Elephas maximus indicus: one gene and its partners. The protein of the gene in region 1 purifies or fractionates together with the protein of each later gene. This does not show direct contact. Links are inferred from orthologs where the notes say so. Each region holds a gene or a part of one and is shown in the gene's direction. Other genes may lie near its edges.

Region 1 (3,747 bases):
CTGGCACTCTCACCCCTTCACCAGGCTCCTAATTCTCTCACTGCCTTAAATTATTCATTGGAGTATAAATTCTTTCTCCCATTAGAACATAAGCTCCCTAATGGGAGAAAGGGAGCCTGAGTGGCACAAGAAGTTTGCCATTGGCTGCTAACCTATAGGTTAGTGGTTCAAATCCACCCAGCAGCTCCATGGGAGAAAGGCTTGATGAACTGGTGATCTGCTTCCATAAAGATTACAGCCAAGAAAACCCTATGAACAGCTCTATTCTGTGACACATGTGGTCGCGGGGTTTTTCTTTGAGAGACCTTGTGTCTTATTCTCTGCTGTGTTCCCAGAGACTAAACAGTGCCTGGAATAAAGAAGACGCTCCAAAAATATTTATTAAATTAATGAATGAAAAAGAGCAAAGTTTGACGTACAAACATGACAAGCAAAACTCTTATAAACTGATATAACAAATGACAAAAAAGTTGTTTTTCTGACTAATTTTATTTTCAATGTATTAATTGAATTAAAACCAAAAAAGTACGCAATTAGAGTAAAACGATGACTGAGTAAAAAACCCACATTAACCAAAAGCCAGTAGAAAAAAGAGAAACCCATCAAGCTTAGGAACAGGAAAACAAGAACCCGGCCAGTGCAAGCCGTCAGCTCTGCGGTGGGCGGGGCTGAAGCGAAGGCGCAGGTTAAAGCGGGTCAACCTGAGGACGTATCTGTCATTGCGCAGGCGCATAGATCGCGGCGGCTGAGGCGCCTGGCCAACTTTCCCGGAAGTGACGTATGTTACGCTGAGAAGGGTTCAAGGAAGATCTGGGCGCTTTGCTTAGGTGAGCGGTGCGGACAGGTGGGGTCGTGCATCCGCTATGACCTGCACCATCGAAAAGATCCTGACAGACGCCAAGACTCTGCTGGAGAGGCTGCGGGAGCACGATGCGGCCGCTGAGTCGCTGGTGGATCAGTCGGCGGCACTGCACCGGCGGGTGGCAGCTATGCGGGAGGCTGGGGCAGCGCTTCCGGACCAGGTCAGGCAGAGATGGGGGATCCGTGCCCTCGGGTTCTGGGCGCTTGAGGTGTGGACTGCGAGGTAAACTGAGAACTCGGCCTGGAATTTGTTCCCGGTCTTAGAGGGCGGCGGTGAGGCGTCTGCCGAGTTGGGGCTGAGAATACTGCCTGGAGCTCTGGCTCCTACCTTTTCAGTTGTATCTGCCCCTGTTTTCGGCGCGCTTAGTCTGTCTTTCTGTTTGTCCAGTATCAAGAGGATGCATCCGATGTGAAGGACGTGTCTAAATACAAGCCTCACATTTTGCTGTCCCAAGAGAACACGCAGATTAGAGACTTGCAGCAGGAAAACAGAGGTTAGTCAGGCTTTTTGTGTAGTTACGATTTTTTTTTTCCAGTAGCAGTTCAGAAATTCTTGCAGAACTGCCTTAACTGTTCACAAACGTGGACATCCTATACGTATTCCCAGGTAAATACTTTTAAAAGGAGTGTCACTTGCTAGACCAATAATGGTGTGGTGTAATTGCTAAATATCTTTTTCAAGGTCATCTGACTGATTTAGCATTTATAGACGGCTCATCAAAGTGGTGCTTAATAGAATTGAATTATTGCGTGGTGTGTTTAAATATCCCCGGATAGAGGCTTGCGTAACAAAGGAGTTCATATTCTCAAAGGGCTTAGAATTTAATGTTTAAATAGTAATCGAAATAAACATTAAAGTTAAATTTTTTTTTTTACTCTTATCGCATAAGGTGCAGGAACAGTTCTATCCTCAGGATATATATTCTTAAACATGTTAACTACGTTATTAATGATGGTAGTGTTAATTAAAAAAAATTTTTTTAATAGTCACTTACATATCAGTTTACAGAAGGTTTTCACATATTACTTCACATTGTATTCTTGTATCTTCATTTTGGTATAGGCAAGCCTGGTATTTATTATTACAGTATTGCAGCTGAGAAATAGACCCAGAGAGGTTAAATGATTTGCTCAGGAGTACTTTTATTAAGCTAGTAAGTCACAGAACTGTACTCAAACCTGTGTCTTCTGATTTCATACCCTACGGTGTTTCTACTAGACTATGGTGTCTCTGCCTAGGAAGTTATTTTTAACATAAACCTTAGCTCTTTAGTTTTGTGGATTTAAACATTGATTTACAACTTTGGACTCACAGTATCTTATGGAGTGTCGTAAAATTCCAACTGTTAAGAGTTTGGTTTTGGGAGTGGTTTCTCAGACATTGCTGCCAAGTTATTTTATTTTTTGATAGAACTATGGGTTTCCTTGGAGGAACACCAGGATGCCTTAGAACTCATCATGAGCAAGTACCGGAAACAGATGTTACAGTTGATGGTCGCTAAAAAAGCAGTGGATGCTGAACCAGTCCTGAAAGCTCACCAGTCTCATTCTGCAGTAAGAAGCTCTGATAAGTAAATTCTAAATTAACTGAATTGAAATCTGGAAATTATTTTAGATTTTGTGTTTGATTTCCAAGAAAAATAACCTTGTGTTTCCTTTCATGTTTATCACAATTGCTGTTTATTTTGCTTTAGCTTTGTAAAGATAATCAGAAGGGGATGAGGAGCTACTCAGTGCCTTTTATTTGAGTGGCCCACGGTTCCCTCCTCTCCCTGTACCGCATCAAGATCTTTTTTCAGAACGCTAAGGAATGCTAAGCACTTGCACCAAACATAATGCCAGTTAGTGTTGAAAGTGTCAAACTGAACTGCATAGCATCATGCTCTATTGTTAGGAGAGAATAGTGGTGTTTAAAAAGTATGTGTAGCGTAGTTTCTACACTTAGGCTGCTTATGATTTAATTTGGGAGACCCAATAATTGTACTTATATTTATAAGATGCTTCACAGTTGTCATGGTACATTCACAGGTACCATATCACTTAATTCTGGGTTAATAGATTGAACCTCGCTGTTTGCTACGGTGGAATTTAGTGAGAGATCAATTTCATCTTAGATTCTGTTGACTTTATTGACTTAACAAAAGTCTTAAGGAATAGGGATAGCTACATTTAAGCTTTCATCTAGAGGAGGAAAATGAATTTTACCAATTTACTGAACCTTGAAGGAAACGATTTATATGATATAGGAGAACTTTCTAAGATGTCCAAAGATGGAAAAAGGCACCCTGGAATGTGATAAGCTTCCTCCCAATGAAAGCGGGAGAACTTAAGTTAAACAGCCACTTAGAGATATTGTCCAAAATCCAGTGGTTACACTAGAACTGGCTTTTTGAAAATAGAAATTATTTCTGAGTATTACAAGGCCACTTTATTACGGCTTTACTCCTGAGGACTCAGATTATGTAGTGAAGCTTCATTGTAACCTCTGTAGCATGGATTAAATGAACTTTTTAAATCATAATGCATATGTTCTCATGAGCTTTATATCTGTAGAAATGATTACTTTTTCACCTTTTCTTTCTTAATACCGTCACAGGAAATTGAAAGTCAAATTGACAGAATCTGTGAAATGGGAGAAGTGATGAGGAAAGCAGTTCAGGTGGATGATGACCAGTATTGTAAGGTTCAGGAAAAACTAGCCCAATTAGAGGTAAGATTGTTGCTATTTTAGGTCTACAATGTTTCACGGAGTTTTCATGAAGTCTGGAAGATATATATGTTATTACTGTTCTGTCACTGCAATGTATGCATGTTTCATGTGTGCTCAGGATTTTTTTTTTTTTTTTTTCCACTGTACCTTCTTTGAGAAAGGAAATGTGATAGGCA
Region 2 (3,747 bases), on another chromosome or scaffold:
TCAATTTCTGTATCAATTATCTATTTCCTATAACAAACCAACTGAAACCTAGTTATAACAACGATTAACTAGTTCTCACCATTCTGTGGATTGACTGGGCGGTTCTGCTGGCCTTTTCCGGGCTCCCTCATGTGGCTGCAATCAGCTAGTGGCTACAGTGAGCGTGTGGCTGCATGATTGAGGCTGGATGGTCTATGGTGACCTCATTCACATATCCGGGATCTGAAGTAGGATCAGTGAAGTGGCTGGGATGGGCCTCGCTCACTGCACGGTCTTTGATTCTGAGCTTTTTCACTGCCTGGTCGTCGCACGGTTGGAAGAAGGGAGTGTTGCAAGGCCTCTTGATGCCTTGGCTTGGCAGCCCCACATCATCACATCTGCCAGGTTCTACTGGTCAAAACAGGTAACAAGGCCAGCCAAGGTTCAAGAGATGGGGAAGTAGACTCTATTTCTTGACTTGGAGGGAGGAGTGCCAAAGCCATGGTGTAAAGAGGGTGTGGGCACTGGGAGGCATGGCAGTCTATCAGAGTTTCCAGTCAAGCACCTTTCCAGCATTGTAGGGGCTTGGATAAATTCTTGTTGGCTTCTTTTTCTTATTTAACTCTCAGAAAGGACATGCTACTTTTTTTCTTAATATGGGCAGGGGAATAGTCAGGTTGAAGTTGACCTAAAACAAGTCATTTTTTAGTGGCACATCGACTTGTCAAAGCTGTTTTGCTTCTCTTCACGTTTTGTCTAAGCAGCGGCTCTCAAAGTGTGATCCCTGGACCACCAGCATCTGCATCTCCTGGAAACTCTCTAATTCTTGGCCTCCACCCCACATTTACCAAATTCAGAAATTCTGGAAATGCCCCTCCCCAGATCTGTGTTCTAACAAGCCCTCCAGGTGACCCTGATGCAGACTGAGATTTGCGAACGACTGCTCCCAACTTAGCAAAGTCAGGCCCTCATCACCTGTTCCTTACCCTTGTTAGCCAGAGATGTTGTCATCCTTATGCCCCTTTTCCCAGGGCCTCCTGTCTCTCTGAATTAGGATATTCTCTGTAATACTAACCAGAATCTCATTTGTGTCACTGTAAACCTGGGGTTTCCTTATTGTTGAGGGAAAGTTTATTGACCATCAGTGACATGCCGTAGATACAGAGTTTAAAAAAGGGGATGGGTGAGAAGCAGGGAGAAGATGGCAGGGAGGGTCCAGTTCAACAGGTAAAATGGCAGATTCACTCTGTCCATGTTGACCTTGAGATGTCCAGGTAGAGAGAGACAATATCTAGTAATTGGTACTAGGAGTTAAAACTCAAAAGGCAGTGCTGGAGATAACAATTTGAAAGTTATCATTTACACAATAATTTTAAACAGTTTCTCTACTGAGATGGCTGTTCATGATGATCAATAGGAGCATTTTAAAAGGTGGATTGTGTGCTTTCCCCCATGTATGTCTGCAAGCGTGCTGGGATCTCTTTCTTTAAGTTTCCCAGGTGACTTTCACCAGGCAGGTTTGGGAAGCACGGCCCCCAGCCATGGGCCTGTGTATGACAACCCTGGGAAGGACAGGAGGCCAGGTGTAGAGTCTTGGGGACTGTCTGCGTGGAAGGTCTGGCAAGGGTAGAGTCTACAAGTGAAGATTTCTGTTAGAAGGACTAGGGAGGTTGGACAAAGACAGTGCAGAGCAGGGTTGCAGCTGCCAAGGGAGTGGAAAGTTCAGAGGAGTGTGTGGCTACTGAGTGTATAGCTTGCCACAGAGGAGATGCAGAAATGGCGTCATCGGTGCCCATGCGAAAGCTGATTCAGGGCTGTGATGAGGGCAGAGCCAGGCTGCAGTGGGCTGAGGAGTGAGTCCGGTGGTAGGTGGAGACTTGGCTGGTCCTGATGACTTTCAGGGGACCTCCTCTTGAACGGAACTACAGAGGAAGGAGTGAAGGAATGACCAGGGTCAAGGACTTTTTTTTTTTACTGAAGAAACTTGAGCACGTTGATATGACAAGGGCAAAGAGCCAGTAGAGTGGGATAAATTGAAGTTGGTGAAGCTGTATCCTGGAGGAGAGAAGGATGGATTCTAAAGCCCAGCTTTTAGGATTGGTCTTGAAAAAGAAGAGGGTCATCCTACCTCATCCTGGGAGGAAGGAGGTAAGGGAAAGATTGTAGCTGTGGAAAGTGAGCGTCAGCCACTCACTGCTGTATTTGTTTGTACTTAAATAAGGAAATGAATGTTTCTTCTGTCTCCCCACCCCCTAGAATCCTTTAATCCTTAGCAGTTTGTGTCGGAGATGACGGTGACAGTGGAGATTCAGTCTGGGCAGGTGTATGCAGGCTGAGTGGAATGGGACACACCCACCAAGGGTTCCTTGGGATTCAGTGGGAGTGGCCCCCAAAATTGCTTTGAAGGGTTCTTAATTTGGAGTACTTTATAAATTTGAAAACAGTAATTCTTATTTCTAATTGTATGAATAGAGGATATTTTAGGGGTTTCCACTAGCTTCAAAAACAATCCTCACTTAATAAAAACTACCCAGGGCTCCTGACTGCTTGTCAGTGATTATCTTGGTAAACCAAGGAATCAAGGTCAGTGTTTTGTAAAGTCTGGAATGCATATTCAGGCATCCTGGGTCCATTTGGTATATAAAAGACGTTAGAAACCCAACTCCATGATTGAAAACTGTTTAGAAATTGCTTAAGAAAAAAAAATGCATCTCAATATTAATAACCCGGTCGATGTATTTAGTGCAGTACTTCAAGTGGAAATGAAGGTGAACAGATAGTTTCATTTTCTGCAGATGAATGTTTGTTTCATTTTATGAGCTAAGGGAATCCTGGTTAAAAGTATGGTACTTGTAATTCCTGGCAGTTTTTTAAACCATACATTAAGGAGGCCAGCCCACTTCCAGAGCAGGCAGAACTCTAAATGACACCGTCTCTATCGTGTCCTTTTTTTCCTAGCAACCCCAGAGCGTACCTTGTTCATTTTTACTGACTTGGTTGCTGGGTTTTATGAGCTTTTACATTGCTCAGTGTGAAGCCTCACCATAGCGCTTGGACTCTACCTCACTTTGTGTTAACAAAGTCACCCTTGTATGACCGTGGTATGTTATTTTCACAGTGTATGTAGACTATGGAAACCCTGGTGGCATAGTGGTTAAGTGTTACGGCTGCTGACTGAAGGGTTGGCAGTTCAAATCTGCCAGGCGCTCCTTGGAAACTTTATGGGGCAGTTCTGCTGTGTCCTATAGGGTCGCTATGAGTCGGAATCAACTCCATGGCACTGGGTTTTGGTTTTTGGTTCACGTAGAGTATAGCACAGCAAGGCCTCCAAATTGGAAATGTGCTGTTTTTGACGAGTTCCTTCTCAGTCGGTTTGCTTGGAGCTCAGTGTGCTTCACCTTCGAAAGCAAGTTAGTGGTTAGCACCTGGTCAGCCCATAAAGCTCATTTAACTCGTTGTTGTTAGTTGTCAGCATGCTGCTGAGACTACCCTAATATTGTGTAGATGACCCACTTCAGTTTGCTGGTCTATGGGTATCTCATCTTCCCTTTATTCTTCCTTCTCTTTCTTGTCTTTCTTTTTCTCATTTTCAATCCTTTTTTCCCCCTTGTTTCTTTTTTCATAATATTTCAGTTTCTTTGAGTGATTAGTAGACTTCTGAGGGTTAGCCTGGAATCCTCTTCCTCATAGGGGATGTTTGTGAGAGAAGATGTATTTTGTAGGGTTGACAACTCCTTATCCTGTGGGGTTCTGTTGGCCCAGGTTAGT
Region 3 (3,747 bases), on another chromosome or scaffold:
AGAATAGAGCACCTGAAAACCAAAAACCAAACCCACTGCCATCACGTCAATTTGAACTCATAGTGACCCTATGACCCTAGGGCTTCCAAGGCTGTAAATCTTCAGTGAAGCAGACTGCCACATCTTTCTCCACTGGTGGGTTTGAGCTGCCGACTTTTTGGTTAGCAGCTGAGTGCTTAACCACTGCACCACCAGGGCTCCTTAGTACACAGCACGGTTTCATCTTATCTACAAAAGTGGCAACAAGAGGATCGGGAAATCCTTTCTCTGGATGCCCCATAAGCTCAGGCACCACCTGGCGCGTCTCAGGAGGGGGAGAGGGTGGAGTGGGAAGGATGTCAGTTACCATAGCAATCTGTAACCTCCCCTCTCATGAATGTGTCCAGAAAGGTGGGGCTAGAAGTGACAGAAGCTGTTACCATGACAACCCCTTCCCTAGACATGTTCCAACTCAAAAGACAATCCTAAAATGTCCCCTACCTTGGTAGGGTTCTGGGGCCTGGTTCTAGGGTCACTGGAAGGGGACTGACCCTGCTACCATAGCAACCAGGGCTTGGTTTTGCCTGTTTCTCACCTCCCTGGGGATGGTCCAGGCCCTGTAACCATAACAACTACTCCTCATCAGAGCATCTCTTCCTCTAAATAAAAACACCTGGTTGGTTTGGCCCAGGGGCCTCCCACGAAGGAAAAGAGGGTGATGGTTACCATGGCAACTCCAACTGGGTGGTGTGGGGGGTTAAGGAAAAGGTGCTTCTCAGCCATTAGTCTTCTTGGGGCTCGGGGTCTCTTCTACCTGGGTGCTAGGTGAGGAGGAATGCCATAGTAACCGAGGTCGGTCGTTAGGGGCAGAAGGCCCATCAGGACCAAGATTACCTTAGCACCTCCTCCAGGTATGTGGGGGTCCATAGCCACAAAGGTGGGGGAGAGGAAAGACGCGCGGGGGGGGGCCCTAGGCTGGGGGGAAGGGTTACCATGACAACCGCCCTGGGCCAGGAAATCAGGAAGGTGCCACGGCCGAAACCACCCCCCCGTGGTCACCCTTTCTCTCAAAGAGCGAAAGTGATTGTCGAGGGGAGTGGTATTTGGGGCTGGAGAGGGTAAGACACTCTCTATTGGGCGACGCGAGAGGAGGGGGCAAAAAGTGGCCCCTCCCAAAGACTCGCTTCTCCGAACGGGGAGCCTCGCGCCCCGCCCACCCTTCCCGCCCACCCCCGCGCGCGCTTTCGGGGTCGACCCCGGTGGGCGAGGCGCGCGCCCGGCCTCGCTCTCGTTTGCTGCCCCTCCACCTCCCGCCGGGCGCGCGCGCAGAGGTTGGCGCGGCCGCGCAGGCGCGCGAGGCACAGCGGGCGCGCGGGCCGGCCCCGGGGCCTCCATGATGGAGGAGCGAGCGGCCGCTGCGGTCGCCGCCGCCGCCTCCTCCTGCCGCCCGCTGGGCTCCGGTGCGGGCCCTGGCCCGAGCGGGGCGGCCCCGGCCCCTGCCCCTGCCTCCGGGCCCGGCCCGGCAGGTAAGGGTGGTGGCGGCGGAGGCAGCCCCGGGCCCACAGCGGGGCCGGAGCCCCTGAGCTTGCCCGGGATCCTGCACTTTATCCAGCATGAGTGGGCGCGCTTCGAAGCTGAGAAGGCCCGCTGGGAGGCCGAACGCGCCGAGTTGCAGGTGAGCGCCGCCCCGGGACCCCGGCACCCCCACCCGGCCCCCCGCCCGGCCCCCGGCCCCCGGCCCGGCCCGGCCCGGCCTCGCCTCACCCGCCGCCGCCGCCGCCGCCATCTTGGAGCAATGGCCGCCGGGACAGCCGGGGGGGCGGGAGGGGACCGCTGCCGGCTCGCACAGGGAGTGAGGGGACGTCTGAGGGGGATCCTGAGGGAATCTGGGGGCTGGGACCGGCTCTAACTGGGTGTAGGGGAGACCCGGGGGCCGGAGGGACCGACTGGGACCGGCAGAGAGAAAGGGGCGGGAGGAGACCTGACCCGGCCAGCAGTGGGAGTGAGCCGCCCGGCCGAGGGGTTCCCCAGGGAAGGGGACTTGGGGCGGGAGGGGAACCTAAGGGAACTCACAGGAAGACTGTGAGAGGCGTTTGAGGGGTCTGAGAGAGATCCGAGTGGTTTCGCATGGAAGTGAGCAAAAGCTTGCAGGCAGCCGAAGGGGTACCGAGGGACTCCCACCTCCTCCCCGACCAACCGAGGGATGGAGGTGGAGTCTGATGGTTCCGGGTGGGAGAGAGGGGATGTCTACGAGGACTTGGGACCCGCTGAGGGCGCGGACGAGTCCGAGCGGGGAACCGGGATGATAGAGAGGGTGTCAGAAGCCTGGGATGGGGCATGTTTGGGAGCGTTTGGACGGGAGCACTAAAAGATGTCTGTGTGAGGACTGGAGTTAGAGGCGGATCCGACGGGTCCAGGATGGAGGTGTGTACCCTCCCCTGTAGGGAGAAAACTTTGGCGAGTTGTGGCATGTATGGTCACAGTTTGGGGAAGGGATCCTTTGCATGGAGATTTGGACAGGGCAGAGGATGTCCCCTAGGAGCCTGTGTGGAAGAGCTTGAGAAGGAAACTCCAGTTTGGGGGTGTGGAGGAGTAGGGGGCTGGCCGTGAGACGGGAGACGTGCGGAGGATGTTAGATAGAGAACCTTAAGCTGGAGAGGTGGGGTGTCAGGCATGCATACTGTAGAAAGGAGGAGACCTGGGATGGGGGCAGTGAGGAGGCATCTGGGGAGGAGGCATCTCAGAAGGATCCTGGGGGAAATGTGTTTGTGGAGTAGTTTGGAAGAGGGATGTGCCCTGGGATGATGGGTGGAAGCAGCCGGGGAGTTGGGCTGGGTTTTGTGACCTTGAGGAGCATGGGTCCATTTGCACAGTGCTTATTTTTTTTTAGTGGATCCTGGGGATCAGAGATGTGAGAATCTGAAGGGGTCCAGGGACAGCATGAGGTGTCTGAGGGTTCCTGGCCTGGGGTATTATTGGTAGAGGTTGTCAGTACCTGCTTCTAGCAGCCCGTCTTTCCTCAGCTGATTTGCTGTTTCCTATGTACCTGAGGTGGAGACTTAAATAAATAAATAACAAAAATTTTATCTATAGTGTGAATAGAGGCCTCTCTCCTCCAAATTCAAGGTATCTGAATACATCCCACAGTTCTCCGACCCCACTGGGCATCTTAGCTGTGTGGTAGCGGAGGTTCGGGGCTGGGCTGGGGGAGGAATCCTTATGTAAGTGCCCCTCGCTTCTGTGTTCATTTCTGTACTCTTCAAGCTCTTTCCCAGTTTACATGCCATTGGATCCTCTCAACACCCCATGAGGTAGGCAGGGCCATCGTCATTACCCTCATAATGATAAAACCAAAAAAATCAAACCCATTGCTGGAGAGTTGATTCCGACTCATAGCAACCCTGTAGGACAGAGTAGAACTTGCCCCATGGGGTTTCCAAGGCTGTAATCTTTCCGGAAGCAGACAGCTGCATCTTGCTCCTGCAGAGTGGCTGGTGGGTTCATACTGAGTGCTTAACCACTGTGCCACCAGGGCTCCTTCGATAATGATAGCAGCTGCCAATTATTGAGCATTTATAATGTGCTAGGCAGTGTATTAAGTACTTTAAATACACGCTATCATTTAATCCTTGCAATAGTCTGGGAGAGTGAGTGATATTTAGCCCCTCCCCCCATAAAAAAATCAGAAGAGGAAACAGACTTGAAGAGGGTAAATAATTTATCTAGGATCACAGCCCGTAAGCGGCAGAGCTGGCCTTTGGACTTTGA

Evidence for each region.
Region 2: the proteins of SIKE1 (region 1) and STK24 purify together in Homo sapiens (affinity purification with mass spectrometry; 4 studies listed by BioGRID and IntAct, with this or other methods). This does not show direct contact. The link is inferred for Elephas maximus indicus from reciprocal best matches to the Homo sapiens genes SIKE1 and STK24.
Region 3: the proteins of SIKE1 (region 1) and STRN4 purify together in Homo sapiens (affinity purification with mass spectrometry; 3 studies listed by BioGRID and IntAct, with this or other methods). This does not show direct contact. The link is inferred for Elephas maximus indicus from reciprocal best matches to the Homo sapiens genes SIKE1 and STRN4.

Annotation. Positions count from the first base shown.
Region 1 is NC_064821.1:165,760,655-165,764,401, forward strand, and holds the start of SIKE1 (suppressor of IKBKE 1), read left to right. Parts: upstream 1-781; 5' UTR 782-863; coding exon 864-1,022; intron 1,023-1,249; coding exon 1,250-1,355; intron 1,356-2,272; coding exon 2,273-2,415; intron 2,416-3,457; coding exon 3,458-3,571; intron 3,572-3,747.
Region 2 is NC_064832.1:93,223,980-93,227,726, reverse strand, and holds the start of STK24 (serine/threonine-protein kinase 24), read left to right. Parts: upstream 1-1,185; 5' UTR 1,186-2,049; coding exon 2,050-2,127; intron 2,128-3,747. UniProt on the Homo sapiens protein: Serine/threonine-protein kinase that acts on both serine and threonine residues and promotes apoptosis in response to stress stimuli and caspase activation.
Region 3 is NC_064829.1:102,266,684-102,270,430, forward strand, and holds the start of STRN4 (striatin-4), read left to right. Parts: upstream 1-1,237; 5' UTR 1,238-1,372; coding exon 1,373-1,654; intron 1,655-1,743; exon of another isoform or gene 1,744-1,781; intron 1,782-3,747. Other genes in the region: ribitol 5-phosphate transferase FKRP, read right to left, coding at 1-42. UniProt on the Homo sapiens protein: Calmodulin-binding scaffolding protein which is the center of the striatin-interacting phosphatase and kinase (STRIPAK) complexes.